3 linked regions of the Caenorhabditis elegans genome follow. The protein of the gene in region 3 purifies or fractionates together with the protein of the main gene of each other region. This does not show direct contact. Each region holds a gene or a part of one and is shown on either strand. Other genes may lie near its edges.

Evidence for each region.
Region 1: the proteins of ZC84.6 (region 3) and sucl-1 fractionate together in Caenorhabditis elegans (co-fractionation; one large-scale study listed by BioGRID). This does not show direct contact.
Region 2: the proteins of ZC84.6 (region 3) and nspg-12 fractionate together in Caenorhabditis elegans (co-fractionation; one large-scale study listed by BioGRID). This does not show direct contact.

What each region holds. Positions count from the first base shown.
Region 1 is NC_003284.9:14,750,253-14,756,839, reverse strand, and holds sucl-1 (Succinate--CoA ligase [ADP/GDP-forming] subunit alpha, mitochondrial), read right to left. Parts: upstream 2,815-6,587; 5' UTR 2,809-2,814; coding exon 2,763-2,808; intron 2,718-2,762; coding exon 2,629-2,717; intron 2,332-2,628; coding exon 1,954-2,331; intron 1,833-1,953; coding exon 1,661-1,832; intron 1,533-1,660; coding exon 1,312-1,532; intron 1,087-1,311; coding exon 1,024-1,086; 3' UTR 766-1,023; downstream 1-765. Other genes in the region: C05G5.5 (Metalloprotease TIKI homolog), read left to right, coding at 582-765; C05G5.3 (Matrix-remodeling-associated protein 7 helical domain-containing protein), read left to right, coding at 4,838-4,891, 4,940-5,050, 5,191-5,242, 5,287-5,471, 5,517-5,654, 5,702-5,821; wshc-2 (WASH complex subunit FAM21), read right to left, coding at 6,492-6,557. UniProt on the Caenorhabditis elegans protein: Succinyl-CoA synthetase functions in the citric acid cycle (TCA), coupling the hydrolysis of succinyl-CoA to the synthesis of either ATP or GTP and thus represents the only step of substrate-level phosphorylation in the TCA.
Region 2 is NC_003284.9:5,253,419-5,259,142, reverse strand, and holds nspg-12 (DUF19 domain-containing protein), read right to left. Parts: upstream 1,845-5,724; 5' UTR 1,835-1,844; coding exon 1,801-1,834; intron 1,751-1,800; coding exon 1,634-1,750; intron 1,587-1,633; coding exon 1,499-1,586; intron 1,444-1,498; coding exon 1,354-1,443; intron 1,306-1,353; coding exon 1,241-1,305; intron 1,193-1,240; coding exon 1,075-1,192; intron 1,020-1,074; coding exon 880-1,019; intron 838-879; coding exon 830-837; 3' UTR 759-829; downstream 1-758. Other genes in the region: nspg-13 (DUF19 domain-containing protein), read right to left, coding at 2,396-2,424, 2,481-2,626, 2,675-2,792, 3,228-3,382, 3,432-3,484, 3,712-3,836, 3,898-3,949; nspg-14 (DUF19 domain-containing protein), read right to left, coding at 4,176-4,192, 4,244-4,386, 4,446-4,563, 4,615-4,706, 4,757-4,819, 5,075-5,195, 5,245-5,343.
Region 3 is NC_003281.10:9,192,119-9,203,265, reverse strand, and holds ZC84.6 (BPTI/Kunitz inhibitor domain-containing protein), read left to right. Parts: upstream 1-3,560; 5' UTR 3,561-3,758; coding exon 3,759-3,816; exon of another isoform or gene 3,817-3,908; intron 3,909-4,224; coding exon 4,225-4,310; intron 4,311-4,360; coding exon 4,361-4,753; intron 4,754-4,820; coding exon 4,821-5,148; intron 5,149-5,195; coding exon 5,196-5,564; intron 5,565-5,611; coding exon 5,612-5,734; intron 5,735-5,780; coding exon 5,781-5,954; intron 5,955-6,002; coding exon 6,003-6,476; intron 6,477-6,840; coding exon 6,841-7,202; intron 7,203-7,247; coding exon 7,248-7,383; intron 7,384-7,432; coding exon 7,433-7,730; intron 7,731-7,986; coding exon 7,987-8,183; intron 8,184-8,232; coding exon 8,233-8,529; intron 8,530-8,581; coding exon 8,582-8,767; intron 8,768-8,817; coding exon 8,818-9,312; intron 9,313-9,334; exon of another isoform or gene 9,335-9,415; intron 9,416-9,440; coding exon 9,441-9,622; intron 9,623-9,669; coding exon 9,670-9,907; intron 9,908-9,967; coding exon 9,968-10,047; and 2 more. Other genes in the region: ZC84.1 (uncharacterized protein), read left to right, coding at 1-697, 765-1,730, 1,832-2,029, 2,101-2,361, 2,642-2,818, 2,866-3,174, 3,251-3,321; ZC84.7 (uncharacterized protein), read right to left, coding at 10,515-10,614, 10,725-10,828.

The DNA.
Region 1 (6,587 bases), on a different chromosome or scaffold from region 3:
CGGCCGACACGCTCGGGTTCCGCAGCTTGGCGTGAAATGAGTAGCTTGGTGTGTGCGAAGAAACAGTTTTTTGGAAGCGGCCGGCGTGTTCGGGGACCGCGCGGTACTATGCATTCGAATACATGCGGCTTGAGTGACGCCGTGAAGCCGGCAGAGGCACCGTTGCGGCGATCTCAAGGGAGACCTACATTGAATAATAACGAAAAAAATTGGTTTAACAGTTTTTCAAAGTTGAAGGAAGAAAGCTCTTAGTAACTCAGTAGGTACCTAGGTAAAGCCTTACATTTTTTCTATAGGAATCAGAATTTAAACAAGGGAAGAAACTATATAAAAGATACATAGGTCCAGTTGCTAAAATTTTTTAATGCAGCAGAAAAAATCGGTTTGATTAAATTTTGATTTTCTAAAATTTGGTAAATTAGTGTTTCAATAATGTTTTGAAAGATGATCGCGGTTTATGGGCATCGTGATCAGACGATTTACCAAACTTGAAAACCGCATGCGAATGAAACTTTACGGCGTTTGGAAATCATATCTAACCCACCGACATTCTTCTTGATTCTTGATCTGCAAATTTTCAGTCAACCCCTACGATCTCCCTACCGTCAAACCGCAAAGTTCAAACGTGTATGGACCAAGGAAACCGCAGTTCGTCGAAAATCAATAATCATCGAAGAAGTAGCACCATCGTCCAGTCGAATTGCTAGATTATGGCTAGTTCCGTGTATTTTTCTTTTACATTCCATCTTTGCCATTTTCCCATGAACAACTTTCAACTTTCAATCAATTGGTTTGCGACAACTGCAATTTTTCCATTTTATCGGAAAAATTCAGCCACACAGTTATCTAGAGGCAAACATATTAAAAAATTAGAGAAAAAGAGACAAGAAAGAGAGAAAAAAGAGAGAAGTCATAGAAATATTGAAATTAAAAACGCAAGATCACTAAAAAGTGTGTAAGCTATTTTCTTACAGAAAAGGGGGAGGGAGACAAGTTGAGTATTAAATCAGCGAGGGTTCCTGTTTAGATCTTTCCCAGGAAAGCGGTGGCCATGGAGGTTCCAAGTTTAGCTGGAGAGTCGGTAACCTGAAACAAATTATGGCATTTTTTTAGCAACCAAGTTTAATTTTTCAAAATATCTTTAAAAACCTGCTGACTTTTCAAGTTAAATTCTAAGGTAAATCGTCATGAACAAGGTGTAACTTCATAAATGTTCTAGATTATTTTGACAACTTTTGCAACAGAACACTGTATATCCCAAGCTTCAAAGTGCAGCTTTAAATTTTATTCTGGAAAAACGTAAAAACTTACTACTACTCCGGCTTCTCTAAGAGCATTGATCTTGTCAGCAGCGGTTCCCTTTCCTCCCGAAATGATGGCTCCGGCGTGTCCCATTCTTCTGCCTGGTGGAGCTGTGACTCCGGCAATGAATGAGACGACTGGCTTCCTGTTGGCTCCCGAGTTGTGCTCCTTAAGGTATGCGGCGGCCTCCTCTTCAGCTGATCCTCCGATTTCTCCGATGAGAATGATTCCTGGAAAATAATTGGTTTCATATTCTTTTTTTTTTTAATTTTTACTGGCTACTCTGGGTACTGATAAATACAAAATCACATTGTTTGAGTTCACATTAGGGTATTATTTTCATGAAACATGAGCTCACCCTTAGTTTCTGGATCCTCAAGGAAGACGTTCAAGCAGTCGATGAAGTTTGTTCCATTGAATGGATCGCCTCCAATTCCGACGCACAAAGTCTGTCCGAATCCGACTTGAGTAGTCTGGTGCACAGCTTCATAGGTGAGAGTTCCTGAGCGGGAGACGATTCCGATGCATCCCTACAAGTTCAGCAAACAGTTTTGATAAAATTTTTAATTGATAATTTCTGAACATGTTTTCGAAGTTCAACTTCACTTGAGAAGGATTTTAAAGGGTTCTACAACAATATTTATAACTTACTCTCTTGTGAATGTGTCCTGGCATGATTCCGATCTTGCACTGATCGGCCGAGATGATTCCTGGACAGTTTGGCCCAACAAGTCTTGTCTTGTTCTGCTTGAGAAGACGCGACTTAACACGGACCATATCGTGTTGTGGGATTCCTTCAGTGATGCACACCACCAATGGAATCTCGGCGTCCATGGCTTCCTCGATGGCGCTACCGGCAGCACTGGCTGGAACGTAGATGACAGAGGCGTCGGCTCCGGTCTTGTTGCGAGCTTCGGAGACGTTCTTGAAGACCGGGAGTCCCAAGTGCTCTGTTCCGGCCTTGTTGGCATTTACTCCACCGACGACTTTAGTGTTGTACTCGAGCATTTGCTTTCCATGGAAGGTACCCTGAAATTTTTGTGAATTTTTTTTTTGAAATACATATTTTCGATATTTTAAGAGTTCGCTATGCGCAAAGTATTGACGTCAAAAGCATATCTGAATACATTAAAATTTTATAGCCGTTGAACTTTGAAAACACTGAATTTAAAGTGAGTTGCGAAGACAGGCGTTTTCATTTTAAGATGTAATTTTTTATGAAGCTGAGTTGTGACCTCTATTTTGCATAAAGCGTATTGTCAGTGTTTGAGTTTATATTATCGCTCCAGAAGCTCCCACGCCATTCATAAATTTATTCGGGTATACCTGCTTTCCTGTGAATCCTTGCACAATAACCTTGGTGTCCTTGTTGATTTTCAGGTTGTTGTAAGTGCTGTTGTAGAAACGAGCAGCTCCTGGAAATACAAATAAGGTGATTTAAATGAAATAGGCAAACATACCCTTCTGCAAAGTTCTAGCATTGTTGGCAATTTGCTGACTCAACATGGTTCCCTGAAAGAAAGATATTATTCAATTGCCGTAAAATTTAAGATGAACGGTGCAATCGAGAAGATGCAATGAAAATGTGAAAAGCTTATTTTCAATAAAAAAAGATAGATTAAAGTAGTTGTATCATCAAAAATAAGATTTATCAAAAACAAAAATAAAACCAACAAAAAAAATAGATTCCTTGATATCTAAACAACTAACTCTTGTGTTACACAAAACAAAAGGGTAGAGAGTGAGTATCGCGTGAGAGGCAGCAGAGAAAACAAGGACGTACGCAGCCAATTGGTTGGCTGAGTATCAAACGATTAGACACTGCCCAACGCTGCCCCGTCCGTTCTCGCTCTCTTCCAACGTGCCTGCACACGTTGTGCGGCGGCCGGGAGAGTGTGAGTGGTGCGGTTGCACAAGTTGGAAACCAAGTCGGCGAAAGACAATCGAGTAGTTTTTTTTTTGGCAGTTATCACAGTGGATGAGGAAGTGGACATTTGAGAAAAGTGTTTGGGGCAAGTGGACTTTTAATTATCATTATTTATAGAAATTTGTGGAGTGCGAAGTGGTCCCTCATTTTATGAAATTTTTTTCAGTATAACTACAAAAATTAATTGATCACTCTTTGTCCAGGGAAGGAATTCACTGTTAAATCACAGACAAAACCAAATCACAGCTTTGAATCTGTAATCAATTTTAGAAATCAACATTGGTTTTCCAGCTTCATTTTTCTATTGCTGTAGTAGTCTCAAGACAGACCGACTTAGTTACATAGTGACCGTTCTCGTAATTATTTAAAACAATCTAAGGGCGTTTGAAGTTGAATATCTCTGGTCCAACCGTTTACCAAACTGTCAATATTTATTGCATACTTTTGTTGCTTCAAAATTGATAAACATATATTTTTAGTCTATAAGTTCACTCATTTATTAAAATACGCTAGTCAATAAGAACATGTGGAATTAACTACTTGTTTACACAGTCTTAAAAATACTGAGAATTCAAAAATTAAAAAAAAACAACATTTTTGAATACCTATGGAGAAGCCGTACCCCAAAAATTTTAATCATTTCAAAAAATTCAGATGTGGTTTTATAAGCCTACGACTTCAATTTAACCTCAAATTTTAATAAATTACAATTTGAATTAGAAATAAGTTGGACATTAATTTTTTAGGTATGCTTGGTCTTAAAATATTAACTTTAAAAATAACGATTCAAATATTCAAATCTTTTTTGTCTGATATCAAAAAAAACCTGTTAACTAACTGAAAAAATTAGGTAGCTTGTTAGAAAAAAAAGAAAACTGTTCTTCGGTTTTCGTTTCTGCAAAATGATAAAAATTGAGTAATCAACTTTCTCGAACATTTTATCTATCAATGATCAAATACGAACTTCAACAATAGTTTTCAAATTACAAAAAAAATATGCATAGAGAAAAGGGAATATCTAAAACTAACATTTCTGTCAGCAAAATTGACTTTATTTTTATTTTTCTATCACCCAATCATTCGTTTCACGTGCGCACAATCGCTCTTGGAGATTATGCTCAAAGCTTACAAATAATTTATAGTTTTCCCTCCTCTCAACGGTTTGGTCAACTTTCTTGAAAGTTGTCTCGTGTCTTGCAGTGAAAACGTTTTTTTTCCAGTTTTTCGCTGTTTTTTTTTCTCCCGTCGTCCTCTCGTCTTCTTCTTTCCCAGCAATTTATTGATTTGTGGCGGTGGTGTGCTCCCGAGCCTCCCGAATCCGCACATTATCATTCAAATCCGCTGTCCGTTTGCCCGGATGTCATCCGCGGATAAACTGCGATAATCTTTCGCGGGAAGCCATACTTATGCATCGGAAATGGCAGTTTTGACTAGCGAGCTCCATTTTCCATTCTCAACCGACACGAATGTTACTAATGTGCTCATTGCGCTTGTTTAAAATTCATTAGTTGCTCCTGCCCCTGCTTCTGCTCTGAGAAAGTACCTTCTTTCCTCGTTTCTTTTTTTTTCAGCGCGTGTTTCTAGAAGGTTTTCTTACAGAGTCACAGAATGTTAACTGGCTACACTACAGAAGAGTATATTCAAATTGGATTTACTATCCTGGTAAGCAAAACACCATTGAAGTAGTTGTAATATAATTCAATTATTCAGTGTGGAGCATTGATTGGGTGGCTAATCAATCGTTTTTACTTTAAAGGGCGCGTGGAAGATTCGAAAAGCAATCTGAAAAATGATGAGCAGTTTTCTGGAAAAATGAATACGGTAAGTTGTTTACAATTAAAAAAATTTTGCATGTTTTAAACTCCAACCTTTTCAATAAATAACACTAAAATCCGTGCTAAAATACTCAAGGAAATAGTAGCTGAGCAACCTAACAATTATAATAATATCATATTTTGCAGGCAAACATCAAGAAAAATCGTGTGATCTTTAGCCCAGAAGTTTGCGAAAATGGTATGAATTTTAGTTTTTTTTTCAGAAAAAATGTTCATTTTCAGACCCACCAAAGGAAAGGGCTTCAAACTCTGAAAAGGACAACAGTGAGGAAAAAACTGAGAGTGAATCAGAAACTGATGAGCAAGATGAAGATGAAGAAGAGGAGCAGATGCCACAGTTTAATAACCGAAAAATTACAAATACTCAGAACTTTTGTCCAGATGAACCGTCAACGTCTCAGGAAAATGTGAGCACAACATTTTTCGGCCAAAGTCTAAAATTGTATTTTCAGCCTTTTGCCAAAGAGCTTTCCGATGCTGACAAGATGAATGTAACAATTGGAAAGCTCCACGGAAAGCTTGCCACTGCTCAATTAAAGGCGAAAACCCGTCAAATCGCCGCAGAAATGAGTAACGAGGAGAAAGAATATGTGAGAAAAATCCTCTTTTTTTAAAACATGAACCACTTAACTTTTAGGAAGCAAAAATGAAAAACAACCAAATGGAATCAATCATGAGACTGATGATGCAAAACCAGGAAAAGTTCGGCATGAGCAGTGACGACATCAAAGAGCAAATGAATCTCTACAACTTTTAAGAACATAATCTTTTAATTATTTTTTATTTGCTACTTTCGTATTGTAAAACAATTCATGTCAGCAAACTTTTACCAAAAACTCACAATCCACTTCATTCCATAATTGATATTTGTCCCATGATCATCATCGCATAACTTCCATGTACAAAAAAAATAAATACTGTTGAATCAACTGTGAAAAATAAATTACACAAAAAAATAAAGTTATTTCTGAAACATTTAAAAAATTGTATTTTTTTTAATAAATAGTTTTTGAGAATTCATAAGATTTGTGAAAGCTTCAAAGGACTTGCTAATGTCAAATTCAAAACCTAATTTTTTCTTTAATGTGCCCTTTTAATAAGTTCTTGGCAATGCTTTTTGGCAGTTTGAAACCTCAAACTTTGCCAGCTCTTTTGTGGCATAGCGGCCGGAAATTAGTTTTCTCTAGTTATCTATCGACAAAAAATATATCTGAATCACAGAACCTACAACACTAAAAAGATTGCGCCATTAGAAGTTCTAGATTCTAGTTGGCCACATTTTAAAAGTTCTTTTCACAAAATTCGATATTTTGAGACAATTTACACACCAGAAAAAAATTGTAAAATGTTCATATAGCAATTTTTACATAACTTTTCACAATCTTCATATATTTATTCACATGTTAGACCCATTATAAAAATTTCAACTAGTTTGACGACGACGCATTTGGACGAGTTGGTGGACGGCGGTTTGAAGGACCTCGGCAGCGACTCTGAAAGGTTTTCTTGGTGTTTCAAATAAC
Region 2 (5,724 bases), on a different chromosome or scaffold from region 3:
TTTTATGAGTCGTAGATGGGAAAGCCCCATAGCCATTACGGGCCATGAATGGGACCAAACAATTATTTCTACCATAGCATTACACCTTTTTAGTCACACTAGTATTTAAGGTGTAAATAGATACCCATTTAACAAGCATTCACAATTTGAAGTTTTTTTTTTGAAAATTTTACTGGAACCAGACCAAAAAATTATTTTGAAAAACCAACAAAAAAGTTATGTTCTGAAATTGTACCAAGTATTCATTTTAGCCTGCCAATGCATATATGATCAGGGGTGGGTGGCATTTATTTTCGGCAATTCTACAAAAAAAGTTGCATTATTTTTTCCCACATTTTTCATTAAAAAAATTAGTGCCGAACTACAGAATGTTGTTTGATTTACTTGAAAATAACATCGACGTTAGCTGAAACATTAATAAACGTGCTAAAAAAATTGCCTGAAAGATATCAATTGTGGAAATATAAAGCTGGAAAATTCGATTCATCATTTGGCAATTTCCAACCATTTTTGAAGCACTTTCAGCTAAAATGATTGTAATTATCGGATAAATTAAATGAGTTTTTACATTTTCACACTATTTTTTTACGAATAATGTTAGAACAACGTGGCGCAATATGTAATTTGATCTGGTTCTACGAAATTCAATAACATTTCGTATTGTACTGTTTTGTAATAAAAGTTTTATTAATTTTTTTTGGATGGGAAATTATTTCAACTTGATGGTATCTCTTTTAGATTTAGCTTTTTTGTTGAAACATACGAAATATTTTATTTCAAAATCGAAATACCACAAAATTGATAAAACATTTGCATTTCTTCCCGGCGTTCAGAATGCTGAAAAAATAAAAATTGCTCATTAATCTGTTTTGGACTTACTTGAGCATTGAAGACTGCAATCGTGCAGAACAGCTCGACCAGCTTGTCGTGCATATTCACATCCCCACCAAGAGCTCTCAGAGTTACAGGAACTGTGATCGAACAATGCATTGAAACATCCGGTATATTGCTCGAAGTACCTGCAGATTTTTTAAAAATTAATTATGTTGTAAATTTTTGATCATATTTCATTACATGCAGTGGTTCTTATAATCTGCCAACAAATTCTTGGCAAATGTGGCACGGCAATCGCTGATCTGAGTTTGTTTTGTGGAAAAAATGTTCGACATACAAACATCGTTGTTGGAGAATCCTTAAACATTTAAAATTTTTTGTTGCTCAAAAATTATTGAAAACCTACCTTCAAATCCAGCTCCGCACGCAAATCCGAATTGTTTGTACATTGACACCACTTGCACGGCATCTCTGAAAACTTGGTAAGATTAACAGAAATAATGAATTGTGCCAACTTACCCAAGTCGAAGACCTGCTTTCACGTGATAACTAATGCTGGTGCAGTCACGTCGTGCTGGTCCAAGACATTCATAGTACTTGTTAAAAGCGCTGAAATCAATTTTTTTCGATGGGCAAAAGACAATGTAAGTATGAAAAAACGAACTCGCAAACTTTGAACAAACCACTTATACCGTTGATGTACATGTTTTCAATTTCTTGACGGTGACATTCAGGCTCGAAAGCAAGAATTCCTCAAAAATTGATAGCTCATTCAATTAAATTGTTATAAAAGCTTTACCATAACAGTTTGACAAGCCTAGATCAGATTTGAGCTGTAGCCCGCAACACTGAAGTAAATCTGGAGTGCATGTACCTGTAGTTGAAGGAGCGCATGCACAAAAAGCTGTTGGTGCTACTGAACATGCTTAAAAGGTCAATCAATCTGGGGGTACATTTTGAACTTACTTGCCAACACCGCAATCAATACATTCAACAGCATGTCGTGGAACGGAAAAGCTAGGGAAATGTTTCATTTATGGGATTAAGAATTGCAGTCCTTATCAGTTGAAGTGATTATCAATAATCCTGTACGCTTAAAAGACATTGATTATTGCATTAAATGGGCTAAGCGGAAAAAGTATTTTCGGAACCTTGTATTTGAATTTGACGGTGAAATTTTAAAACGAATGAAAAAAAAACTAATTTTTTATTTCAAATATTGCATAATAAGTAAAACAATTTATAAAAGATACACAGTCAAAAAATAGTTTTTTTTCAATAATAATTTGCTTATAATCTGTTGTCCTACCAAAATGTTTAATATACCAAATGTTGAAAACGTCCCAAAAAAGCTATTGGCAATATTTATTTCAAAACCCTTTTTTCAAAACTTTTCATGAAGTTCCCCATCGCCACACCAATAGATTGTCATATACTATACCGATGGCATTTTCTCAGTAATAAAAATTTATTCTTATCACAAATGATAATACATAGTTAAGATTGAATGACAAAAAGTTAATAATTTGTTTGTATCTGACATCATTTCGTTTTATTCGACTCATCCGATGATTCCTCCGCTATATGGCACTGCAAAAAAACAAAATCAATTTTACTAGATTTCACAATTTTCAAGTTTCACTTACAAACACATCTAGCTGCACATTGAGGGAATCGAGTAAAAACATTGACTCTTGAGTATTCACAAGCCCAGAACATGGCATCGTTTGATTTTTCACCACAGTTGTTTTTGAACTGAGTTTCGAAGCAAATCAAGTACTTATTGGCTTGTCTGTAAGTTTGGTTGGCGTTTTTTAATAATACCCGATGGTCTTCTTACGTGCAAGCCTGATTTGCGTCAACGTCACTGTTCACCTCATAATCTAGTCGGCATTGTCTCAGGACATCACTTTGGCTTCTCCAAGTAGTTGACATACAGCCCTCATTAAGGAGGTATGCTGAAATGAAGAAAGTTACCTCGTTACGGTTGGAATCCATTAGTCTGTATAAGGCGCTATTTTTGTGTTAATCGATTTCTGATCTCTGAGCAAATTAGGAATTTATAGTAAATGCGCAGCCGACTTCGGTTGTGGTCAGCGATGGACCTATTTCCCATGTATATCATATTTTCCTGCGTCTCTTGAATGTTTTTTTTAAACCTAATATGTGCTAGTATTCATGCCTATTCTAATCATAACTCAGAAATTCCTCTAAGAGTCTCATAATGTGTATAAATTACCACAGCAGCAAGCCCCAGAAAGTTTGATTTCGACACTCCCCGTGTTTTCCACCTATTCTAGAAACTTCATACCATGCCAAAAAGATGTGTAATTGTGTACTCAACAAAATTCAATTCCGACATCGCGTCGGGAAATGACAATAAAAATTCATACTTTGCAATCCAGCTCCACAGACAAAGTGCATTTGGTTGAACAGTCCAACAAATTGATAAGCGTTGAATGGAGTGGCCGATACAGAAACAAAATGGACCGCAGACATGCAGTTCGCGTATTCAGAGCCCATGCAAACTTTAAACTCGCGGAAAGCTCTGGAATTATATTCAGGATTCGAGAGAGAGTATCTAGTGAAGTACTGACTTGCAAACTTTACGCATTCCACTGGGTCCTTGAGCCTGGTAGTTTGTCTCCACCTAAATTTAATCAATAATTGTGTTTTGCTCTTTTTTCTGATAATCAAAAAATCAGATTATAATACAATCATGATGACATAATTAATCCCATTGACTTAAAAGTTATCATCGACACGTTCTAAACCTCACATTTCACATTTCACTATGCACACCCTTCGTCATATCACCTTATTCAGTTATCATTTCATGGAATGGCAAGCGTGGAAACTATTGTATTAAAAACTTGCCTCCTTGCGGAAGTTTTCGGGGTCAAACCATGGCTGTGGGTCGCTGATGCTCAAAACCGCATTGAGAGCAGTTTGGCACTCAAAATAAACCGTCGAGTCACAGTTTAGACCGGCTGATTGGACTCCTGGAATAAAAAAATAAGATTAAAACAAATATTTCACAAGTTTTAATTTCAATTTACTTACCTGACAATCCAAGAATCAACGCAAGAAATGGCAAACACCGGTCTTGCCACATCTGAAAGCATAATGTGAGCACAAATATGTATTTTTAATTTTGCAAAAAAAAACACACACACACACAAAGTCAGAAGTATTCAATGCATTGAAGCATTTCAAACGAAAACAAATTTTTGAAATTAAAAAATTATGAATTAAATTACATAGATTTATTCCCAAAAATGTGAATTCAAATAAAACATTTTGACCAAAACAAAAAATGGAGATGATTAAACAAAAGACGATCAGACGCGTTCGTGGACTGAAAATAAAATAAACATTATTTAAACCCCATCCCATTCTGAAAACCTACATGTGCAGAAAATCTGAGAGCACTGTGGGAAGAGAAGATTGGTACCGGTACGCTCGTAGTTGCAACCCCAGTAGGCCATCTCTGGCTTCTTACAAGCGTTCCAGAACAGTTGGAAGTAGCAGTTGGCTGCGATCTCAACGTATCTAGAAAGTTAAGATTATTCATTATTCTTTTTGATTGGAAACAAAACTTGAAAACTTACGCGCAAGCTTGAGCTGGGTCAGCCATGGACTTCACGTTGAAGTCATTGTCGCACTGTCTCATTGCAGCTGTCTGGTTGTTAAAGACAGAAGAGCCGCAAACTTCAGAGTTGGCAAAGACTGAAAATTCAATTCTAGTATTCAGTATTACAGTATAATTGCTAATCTTACTCGAGAATCCAGCACCACAGACAAAATCAAGTTGGTTCCAGATTTTTACGTATCCATTAGCCTGATCCTGTGTGAGTGGGGCGCCGTTGTTGCTGAAGAACAGACAAAAACTGTTACAGTATATATTGAATTGAGAACTTACTTGGTTCCAGTTAGAAGACCGTATGGGTTCTGAGCACATGCGTAGAACTGTTCTTTTGGTTGGCTATAAATCAGTTGATTTGAGATGTAAAAATTAAAGGATCAAAGGGTGTTCCGTTTTTAAACTCCCACTAGGCTTTAGTTTCAAGCCACGAGCCATTAGTGGATTCCTCTAATTCCCAAGCTAGGTTGGGTGATCCTAGGGAAAGGCAGGACTTGAACTAGTGGTCTCATGATTGCTTGCGATCACCACACTACCGACTGAGATATTCCCGTCGCACATTGTGAATCTCACAACATTGCAAACTATGTCACTTACTAGCACTGCTTGTACTGCTTGAAGGCATCGCAAGTTGTAAGAAGCCCGTATGCTTGGTTATTGGCATACGACTGCTCAATGGCACTTCTCAAGTCTTGATATTTGGCAGCACCGAGAGAAGCTGAAACACCAAAACTTTTGTGCTTAATTCTATTTTTCAGTTTCATTACCATCAAATCCCAAAAGTTGATTGAACTGACTCTGACAAACATTTAGCTGGTTATTGATATCGCATGCCGTTAAACTTGGGTTTTGTGCCGCCACAACGCCTGAAACTTTTCATTGGTTTATTTTTTAAGGTCATGTCTCTCAGTTTTTTCCCAGAACTTCTAATAGGTTGAAAAATAATCGAGCCTGGAATGTTTGGTTTCTAAAAGTCGTATCCAGTGCCACCGTACATTTTCTTTTTGATAAGAAAATGCCCGCCGCTAGTTGTGACGCAACTAATACCAACAATCACATTAGATTTAGGAAATTACAGTAGTCTAATACTTGTGCAGATTTCATTTTGGGAACGTTCCCGATCTTGCAAAAGTTACTTAGTCATAATAGTATTTAGGCGTTACCGGGCAACACGTGGAATTTTTCGTTATCAAAACTGATGATAAGTAAGCAAAAGCAATCCGGTTAGTGCAAGACTTAATTCTGCC
Region 3 (11,147 bases):
TGCGACGGAAATTCAAATAATTTCGCAAATCGAGACGCCTGTGAATCTTATTGTAGTGTAGGTGGATGTCCAAACGGTGGAACTCCATTACGAGATCACTCTGGAATGGTTATGGTATGTGGAGCTCAACAGACATCATGCCCAGACTCTCACGAATGTATTCCTGTCCTTGTCGGTAATTCATTGATCAATCGATGTTGTCCAACTCGTGCCTACATGTGTGGTCTTCCACCTCAGCAGGGAACACAGTGTGGAGCTAATTACGTTCAGAGATACTATTTTAATATTGTAACAAGTCAATGCACATCATTCCAATTTGGAGGATGCGATGGAAATGCAAATAACTTTTTAAATATTCAACAATGCAGAAACTTCTGTATGAGTAATGCTTGTCCAGCTGGAAATGTTGCTTATGTCGATCCAAACTCTCAAATGCCAATTAATTGTAATGAGGCACTAAGCAATAGTTGTCCATCTGGATATGCTTGTACCTTCAATCCACTTATCAATAATCATGTTTGCTGTGGAGCAACTGATTCTGGAGTTTGTCCAGAAGCCGAGAAAGCATTTATTGATACAATTGATATGTCACCAAGAGAATGTCTAATCAATATTGAACAATCTTGCCCAGCGAATTATCTTTGTAGATTCAATATGCAGAAGAATAAGTATTACTGTTGTTCAAGTATCACTGGAAGTGAGTTTAGATTTTAACTACTAAAAATTATAGATACTTTTTACGTACTCATTAAAAAAATTTTCAGAAACATGCCCCGTTGGAAAGTTCCTTTACAAAGATCTACGAACATCTCAACCAATTAGATGCACAATCGGACGAAATGATCAATGTCCCGATGGATTCACTTGTCAAAGTTATCTTGCCAACGCATTCCAAGGATTCTGTTGTACTGCAAATTCAGTTTGTCCAGATAATGCTGATTACCTTATTGATGATCAATCTCAACAACCAAGAGCTTGCACTCAAGGAACTTTTGTTTCGTGCCCCAATGGATATGCTTGCAGATCATTGACCTCATCCGCAGACGGTTTCTGCTGTAAATCTGGAACAGGAGCTCTTCCACCATCAGTTACAGATGGGTGTCCTCCAAATGAGTACGTGTATCTTGTTCAAGGAGAAATTGCTCAGTGTGATCCATTCAATCCACCGAATGCTCCATGTCCATCTGAGTTTACGTGCCAATGGTCTCTTTCCAATCAACGTTACCAATGCTGTGGTTCCAACCCTGCTCCAACCCCTCAAAGACCTTCTGATGGTTGCCCGAATGCTCAGATTGCGTTCAGAGATGCAGACGCTGTTAGAGTTTGTAGCGCTGGAGCAGCAAATTGCCCAGCTGGGTATTTCTGTCAATTCTCAAGTTCCAACAATCAATTCCAATGTTGTGGAGTTAGTGGTGGTTGTCCTGAAGAATCAGTTGCCTTTGTGGGAATGTCAGGGGAACCAGAGAAATGCGTTGTTGGGCAATCAAACTGTCCACGGGGATTCGCATGTCAAAAGTCATTAGCTGGACACCATGTCTGCTGTACAGTGAGAAAAGTTGCCTGTGAATCAAATGAAGTGATAATCGAGGGAGAATGCCATGCACAAGTTGGTCCTGGAAGTGAATGTCTTGCAAATGAGCAATGTACTGGTGGATCTGTTTGTGAAGATGCTAAATGTGAATGTAGACCACCGTTGAAGGCAGTTGGTGGATTCTGTCAAGAAGAGATTCGTGAGTTTCTTTATTTTTTATTTTTTGTTTTGAATTTTGGGCCAACTATTCAAAAATATTGTATTATCGAAAACTGTAAAAAATCTGCAATCTGCTTCCAGAATGCTCTTCCAATCAAGTACTTCATAACGGTCTGTGCCACAACAAAGCAAAACTTGGAGAAGCCTGTCTAACAGTTCGTCAGTGTCAAGAAAATTCAGGTTGTATTGAAGGGTCCTGTGAATGTAAGAAAGGATTCATTGAGAAGGCTGGAAAATGTATGACCCCGGTAGAGAAGAAATCCGCTGTATCTTCTAAGTGTGAGTTTTACAATTCTTGTCTTTCTGTGAAATTATTTTGAAAAAACAAAACAACAATGAAAATTTTGTAGCTATCAATAACGGAGTCACTTGCTCAAAACCAGGATGGAATCCACTTATCGATGAAGAACACGAGAGACCGAAACATTGTTCACCAATTGGAAAAGCTTGTCCAAATGGATATGAATGTCAGATTAATAATAGAAGAACTCAATATCTTTGTTGTGCTCCTGACATGTCAATGTCATCAACTGTTTCAATTCCTTCCTTGCCGCCTCCATCGACAACTACAACAGAAAGGATAATGACCACAAAAAAAGCGAATCTGAAAGGTAATCGATTTTTGTGATTGGAACAGTGATGCTAATTAGATGAAGAATTTATTATTTTAGTTGAAACGATAGGAAAACACTCAAAAACTGTTTGAAAGTTGATAATTTCTGGAAAATGTTATTGATACTTTTTTTGGCAACTTTCAATGACACTTTCCAACTTTTTGAAAAATTTTCCAATTGTCTGAACTAAAAAGAAATCTATCTGCGCGAGCTTTCTAAAAGTAAACATGCGCCTTAAACTCTTAAAATGTTTCAACACAAAAATACTATATTTAAGTTTGCCCAACTGGAAGAACCCCTTACCTTCTTAACGGTGCTCCACAAAAATGCACAATTTCGCGTTGTCCTGCAGGTTATGAATGTACATATAGAAATAATGGTTATCATTGTTGTTCAATGGCCAACAAGCCAGGTCTAACTGTTGCTGGAACTACCGGATCAGTTGTTTCAAAGTGTAAGATTTGAAGGAATCAAGTTCTATCATTCAATTTTGATTTTCAGCAACTCCATCTCCTGACCAAGAAAAGTGCCCACGTGGAAATCCATTGATCTATCCATCTACAAGTTCTCCTGTACTTTGTCAACCAGGAAAAAGAGGATGTCCAGTTGGCTTTGGATGTGTGCAGAGCTCGACATCCAATAATCATATTTGCTGTCCATCTCGCCATTCCGATCGACCTGGATATCAAAGTGAATCGTTCGGACTTGGAGCATATTACAGTAGAGGGCCACCAGCAGCCATCAATCCATGTGAAGGGTACTTAGTTCTTGTAACAAGAGGTGTTAATGGAAGAATTGAGAAGAGATGTGGTATGTTATCGAATATCAGTCAAGGAGAAATTATTCAGGTGATTTGTTTATAAACACAATATTTTTGAAATTTCAGAAAGAAGCTGCCCGTTCCCTCAAATCCCAATCGGAGGAGTTTGTTACGAGCTCAAGAACAAAGCAACATAATTTTTTATCACGTTATCTACTGTTCCCCGAAATCTCATTCCTCGAAATTTGAAATGTCAATTCTAATGTTCCCCCTCTCTTCGTAATGTCCACTCTTCGTGACCAGTGTGCGAGAGCAGAATGTTGATTACCTGACCCATATTTACAGTATTCCGCACCTTGTTTGCCCCCGTTTTGACACGTTGAAGGAATCGCCCTCCCCAACATGTCTCCGACTTTATCTCTTTTCTGTACCATTTATCACCACCCTATCACCACGAACTCATTTTGACATCCGGCGCGGAGCGACGCACATTTCTGTACTATTGTGTTCCTCTTTTGTCGAAATATTGTCACCTTCCTTATTAATTTACTATTAGTCACTATTCTATGATTTCAACCATTGTTTAAAATTATTATTATTAGTTTGCCATACTCCTTCACTTCCTTAATCCGTTATGGTCACTCAAGACCTTTTTCTTCTATTATTATTATTATTGCTCACTTCGTGTGCAGGTTCGTTCCACAATCACCCCCAAATTTGTTCTCATCAACCCGGCAGTTAGTCATGTGGTAGTTCGTAGGTACTATGTTACCAAATAAACTATGTTTACTTTTACATTTAAGAAAATACTCCGATTATTCATATTCATTCAGGGTGTCTTGGGATATTCCAGGAGTACTGTAGAAAATGTTTGGTAACCTAATAATAATATTTGAAAAAGTTCTCACAATCAGAATTCTGGAAAAGTATTTTGTTTAGATTTTCAGACATAAGTTCAAATAAATTCAAAAAAAAATAAGTTCACAACATTTCAGTTAAATAAATTTGAAAAAAAGTTACCAAAAGTTCAGTTAGAAAATAGAAAATAGATTAATTTTAATTCCTATAATAGTTCCTATGATGTTTTTAAAAAAATTCAGCTCAAATTGATGGGCTCCGAGACAAACGGCAAACTGGTAGCGGACGTGTTGGAGATGCTTGTGCGTTCAATACTGACTGCTTAGCTGTTAGTTTATAAAATTTTAATTTCCTAGAATGTCATGAAAATTATTTTAGGGGATGTTTTGCAATGGAGGTCTCTGCTCCTGTCTAACAACTTACATCGCAGCTGAAGGCTACTGTTACCAAAAAATAGATCCAGGACAGCCTGGATGTGTGTACAACGAGCAATGTGCATCAGTTTGGCCTGATGCATTCTGTGACACTTCTGCAGGAGTTGGAACGTGCCGATGTGGAGAGAATAAAGTTGAAAGAGCTACCAGAGATGGGCATGTTTGTTTGGATGTTCTTGATGCAAATCACAATACTCTAGCTATCACTTGTCCGCTACCAGAAGGTGCTGGTTATACATCAGCTTTATCTGATCCAAAGCATCCACGACAAAATGATGGGCCGGGACCAGTGTTGTGCAATACAGATAGTACTAATACAAATCAGGGTGACGAGCAGGTATGCCTATTTTTCCTTTGAAACCAGAAAACTCTCCCGAATAAAAACGGATCTTTCTTATATTCAGGCAGGTGACGGAAACTCAGCTTGCCTCTTCCCATCAAATGGCCAATACATTGCTGATCAATATGATTGTGTGGAGTTTGTCTCTAGTTTAGACCTTACATCCTCTGGATACAGTGAAAAAGCAAATGGTATCTGTTGCCCTAATCGTGCATTCACCTGTGTTCAACCAACTGCTACTGGACCAAATCCAACGGAACCTCGATGGTGGTACAACTCGATTACTGGAATGTGCCAACAGTTTTTATGGGATCCATCGGCTTCTGGCTCAGGAGAGCATTCACCAAACAACTTTAGAACCGTTGAGCATTGTGAAAGCTTTTGCAGAGATAGTGAGTTTAAAAAAATGTTTGTGTAGGAAACAAAATTTGATTTTCAGCGTGCTCTCGTGGAGCTCCGGAATACATCCACCGTACTTCGTTCCTCGAGCAGACTCCAATTACCGGATGCTCACAAACCAGTGCATGCTCCCATAACTATGAGTGCAAATCTGTTGGAAGTACTCAATGGTGTTGTCCTACGGTAGCTTCTGTTTGTGGTCCAGTTGGAGGCCGTCCACTCGATCCTTCCGTTAATAATCGCGGTACCGTTTATCATTCTGGTGTCGAAAAGCAAGGAACAGCTACATCGACAAGATTTTTCTATGATCCACAATCCGGAAAATGCAGTCCATTCACATATTTGGGAGCTGGTGGTAACTATAACAATTTCCTATCAAGAATTGATTGTGAACTTTATTGTGCAAGATGTGAGTTTTTTTCCAATTAACTGTCATGAAAGGAATATTAATTTTAGTACAATGTGATCGTGGAAACCCACTTCGAATCGGTGACGTCACTCAATCATGTGCATCTAATAATGACTGTCCATCATCTCACGAATGTAAAATGGATCAAGCTGTTTGCTGCCCAAGAATGCGTAAGATCCTGCAAACTACCACAGAGTGAGCAAGATAATTTTTCAGAAACAATCTGTACTCAACCACTTCGGGTTGGAAACTGTGATAGATCGGTAAGAAGGTATTGGTATTCAGCGGCAACAAGAGAATGTCAATCATTTGAATACACCGGATGCCAAGGAAATGACAATAACTTTGAAACTCTGGTTGATTGTCAGACATTCTGCAGAAATGCTGCACGTAAGCCTAGAATATTCGTCTGAATGATCTTTAAAATTATATTTCTAGCGGAGCCACGATGCCCTCAAGGCCAAGCATACAAGGATAACCAAGGAAAGTTTGTAACCTGCACTACGAATCGTCAATCTTCATCCTGCCCAGCAAACTTTGAGTGTTATTTTGATGGAAACATGCATGGATGCTGCCCCACCAAGGCATTCACTTGCTCCCTCTCTCCAAGTCCTGGAAAAACTTGTGGACCAGGTGTTTCTTTCAAATATCACTATAACCCACAGACGCAAGAGTGTGAATCCTTCGAATATCTTGGATGTGACGGAAATTCCAACACCTTTGCAAGTCGTGCAGAATGTGAAAATTACTGTGGCGTTGGTGGATGTGCAAACGGGGGAAGTCCACTGAGAGATAGTAATGGAGCACTGCAATCGTGTTCTGAAAGAGATGGTGGATGCCCATCTTCTCATGAATGCTATGGCGTCAGTTTGGGACCAGATATGATGTCCTACAGATGTTGTCCAACTAAAAGTAAGTTCAAAAAATAAATGATGCAGTGGGGGCCAAAAGCTTATGGGTTTTTGGGGTTTCGCTAATTTCTAACAATTTTCAAATGAGCATAACTCAAAAACTAGAAAAGTTAATCAGAAAAAATCAACTAATATGTTGCCGATGATTTTGTGTACAAGCAAGATTACATTTTACAACTTCACAATTTCAAAAAATACGGCGGCCGACAATTTGCAAGTCCAACCTGTAGACAACATTTTAAGTTACATTCTTTTAGTTGAACATATATTTCTGAAGTTCTTACTCATTTACAACATTTCAAAAACATGCAAAAAACCACAAACTTTCGCCCATCACTATAACTATTTTCATCTTAAATGTTCAGCCTACATCTGCGGTCTTCCACCTCAACAAGGATCCTCATTATGTTCTGGAGGGCTCACCGTTGTCACAAGATACTATTTCAATATTGTCACACGTAAATGCTCTCCATTCGTTTATAATGGTTGTGATGGCAATCCGAACAACTTTGCTTCCCTGAATCAATGTAACAACTTCTGCATGGCATCTGCTTGTAATGCTGGAGATGTTGTATATTTGAATCCAAACACAGCTCTTCCAATTTCATGCAATGACGAACTTCAGAACAATTGTCCAAAAAGTTTTCAATGTATTTATGACAGTTTGACAGATCAGAGTGTTTGTTGTGGAGCAACTGATATGGGAGTTTGTCCAGACAATGAGAAGGTTAGAATGAAACGCTTCTGTCTAATTTTAACGCTATGTTTTCAGGCTTACATAAATTCAATGGATGGAACAGTTCGAGAATGTTTGATCAATGAGCACAACTCTTGTCCGAAAGATTATTTGTGCAGATTCAATGCCATTAAAAATCGATATTTCTGCTGCGGATCAATGAGCAAAGCTAGTAAGTCAAGAATTATGAGAGTTATAAAAAATGTCGACGAATCCTTCAGATTACTGTCCGACGGGACGTGCCCCATTCAAAGACCAAACAAGTCTTCAGCCGACCAGATGCACAATGCATGCTGCCACGTCATCTTGTCCAGACGGCTTCGAATGTTTGAGTGATCTCAAGGATGCTCTTCAGGGATACTGCTGCTCTGTCTCTGAAATTTGTCCGCATCGTGAAGAATACTTTATTGATGAAACTTCTGGAATGCCACGTTCGTGTACTATCGGACATTTTGTCACTTGCCCTGCTGGATTCCAGTGTATGGCGCAGATTGATGGATCAATGGGATATTGTTGCAAGTGAGTTAGCACCAGTTTAGTAAAAATACATTTGTAATAATTCAAGATAGGCTAAAAGTCATTCTAGAACGCTACAAAAGTGTTTTGGTTTTGAAAAGGTCAGGTAAAGTTTTGGTGAAAAGCTTTACTGTTTTATGAACATTTGACGAAAGACTATAGCATCAAAAAATTTTAATAATGTTCCCACATAATATATACAAACCAAGTTTTTCTTGTTTATTTTCAAATGGTATTCTGATATGAAAAATGTCTTCAGAGGTCAACCCCAATTGACAGCTTCTGATGGTTGCCCACCTGGAGAAATAGTTTATATGGAGAGAAATGAAGTTGCAACATGTGATCCATTCAATCCTCATAATCAAGGATGTCCTGGAACATTCTCATGTCAATGGTCCATTAGAACTCAAAGATATCAATGTTGTGGAAGTGATCCATTGCCAACTCCCATGGAGAGTAAGTGTATTCCTTGATATAAAAATTTAAAGTTCTTATATTTTATTAGATGACGGTTGCCCAACTCGCCAGATTGCATACACCGACCCAGACACTAAAAAACCAAAAATATGTACATCTGCAAGTTTATCGTGCCCAGCTGGATATTTCTGTCAATTCTCGAATCAAAACAAACAATTCCAATGTTGTGGAATGCCAAGCGACTGTCCAGTACAAATGGTTGCATTTATTGGAATAACTGGAGAAGCCCAAGCGTGTTCAATGAACGGAGGAAGTGCCTGTCCTGATGGATTCTCGTGTGTTCGTGGAAAGAGTGGAGCTGAGTTATGTTGTGCTGGTGGAGAAAGTTAGTTCCCGAAAATAATTAGGCAGTTGTACAGTTTGAATTTATATTTCAGCATGCGAAGCTTCCCAAGTCCCTGTGAATGGAGTGTGTCTGAATAGAGTTTTAATTGGAGAACAGTGTGAAGAAACACCTCAATGTGTTGGTGAATCACATTGCATCGCAATGAAATGTTCATGTCCAACTGGAACAATTGAACAGAAGCAACAGTGTATGGATGTCTCAATTGAACGGGAAATAAGTGAGTTAACACTCAGAAATACAATGCGAAACTAATCAGCAAGTTTACAGAATGCACTGATAAACAAGTTAAAGTAGAAGACGAATGTTTCCCGTTGGTAACACTTGGAAGAAGTTGTGTACATTCTGCTCAATGTCAGGGAATGGGTCAATGTATTGATGGAGTATGTGATTGTGACGAGTCATCAGTTAGAAAAGGCCATCGTTGCGATAAGAAACAATCTGTGAGACCTTCTCTACCAATGAATGTTAACAAGTTTGCAACGGGTTCTCCTCATGTCATGAAACAGATTCAACCTCCGATGTCTTCTACATCATCAGCAGTCATCACGACAACAAGTTCCAATTGGCAGCCACAACCTGGTCATGCTGAAATCATGAATGAAGGTATCTGCCCAGCACCGAGACAACCTTACCTGGCAAATGGAATCGCAAGGCAATGCATCAGTGGACAACCATGTCCAGTTGGGTATTCATGTACTTGGAGTCCACAAGCGAAAAATTATTTCTGTTGTGCAGCAAACAAACTAGTCATGAGGACCTATGGTAAGCTAAGATCATCGGAATCTGCGGAAGCATCTTTAATATTTGCCCGCTATAATATGCCCGCTTAAATCTTAAGCTTTCAGGGATAAAACCTTCAGGGATAAAAGATATGAACAAATATTTTTCAGTTCTCAAGGACGTTTGTGACGGTGGTGAAGCTTTGTTGTTCCCGGCAACAAAAGCACCAGTGATTTGTACTCGATATGCAACATGCCCTCCAGGATATTTCTGTAGAAGGTCGCCAAAAACAAAACAGACACATTGTTGCAAAAAACGACAACCTTTGAATATGCAGAGCTATATTATTCAGGTAACTATTCATTCCTTCATCTAGAGAGCCTTCACTAAACATTTCAGATAAAAGATATCACATCTAAAAGACCTGAACCTCTCCGAATGGCTCATTCGATAGCATCAGCAGCCGTTCAGATGGCTTCACAATATATGCACCCAGGACGAAGGCGTCAAAAACCACAGCCAGTTCAGAAAACCAAGCCAGTGAAAAACGTGAAGCCAACGAAAACCACACTTCCCTGCCCACCAAATCAAGTGCTTCTAGAGATGGAAGTGAATCGAAAAATAATCAAACGTTGTCGTAAGTTCAATTTCCAAAAAGAAAGATCGAAAGTTATATAGCGTGTAAATGTTATTGCAGAAGCCACGTGTCCTGTCTCAATGCGTTCGGTCAACGGAGTGTGCAAAATCGAGCGTCGACCACCAGTAGTCACCCAATAACTTTTTCATTCATTTCCCGTGCCAATCGTCTTTCATAAGTATTCTTTCTCTCTATATGAGTAACCGAATGATCGTCAAAAAGCTTTTAATTTGAAAAGCCATCCAGTTGCTCTATTTTTCACATCTTTCTCATTGTTGTTGCGCCACTTTTTAGAAATTTTTGGTGGTGGAGAGACGCTCATTTGTTTTCAACGAACCACAATATGTGGTCACAAAAATCAAAATAAATAAGTTTATTAAATTTGTTTGAATATTGAAATTCAATTGAGAAATATATTTTATGTTAAAATTTTCAATTTTCGGAGATTGTTGCATCGTAATTTATCAGAAGGAAGTTTAGAAGACACATAAAAGATACAATAATCTCAAGATATTTAAAAGAATACAAATTTGATACAAAATGTTAAAATTTAAATTATTCGGTGAGAGAGAGATTCAGAATAAAATATATGCGAGTTAACAGGATTTTATACGTCTGGAAGTGCAACTTTGGCTGGTTGTGCTGGAATCGGAGATACACCACGCTCCACAATTTCATTGTATGATGGTGGCTCGTCACGATACGTGCTGAAATTTGCTAAATGAGTATATGTTTCAAAAATATTTGAAACTTTTTCAAGTTAGGTGGATTTAGGGATTGAGTTTGAGATATATAAAAACACATTAAAAGAACATACCTGATTCCATTATCAGTGATAAAGAACGGGCTTGTTGGTACAGTAAGTGAATTTCGATAAATCATTGGTGGAATTACCATTGTAACATCAACAATCGGAGAAGGCTGGAAAAATGTGGAAATTACTATAATTGACCCTATTCATACAAAATGCATTAGCCTATTCAATATAATCTAAACCAACATGTCATTTCAATTCCCATAATTTCCATAAATTTTCGATTTTCCCTCACTTTATTCTATTTTCTTTTGTTCTTTCTTTACGGACAGCGGAAGGCGATGACTGGCTGAGATTTTAATTTATTGTTTCTTCTTTATTTTATATTTTCTTTCAAGTTGACTGTTGTGAACAAAAACTGTATATTCAATGTGTTTTCTGGAACGTTTTATGAACGTAGAAATATGTAGCTATAATATTTTTGTA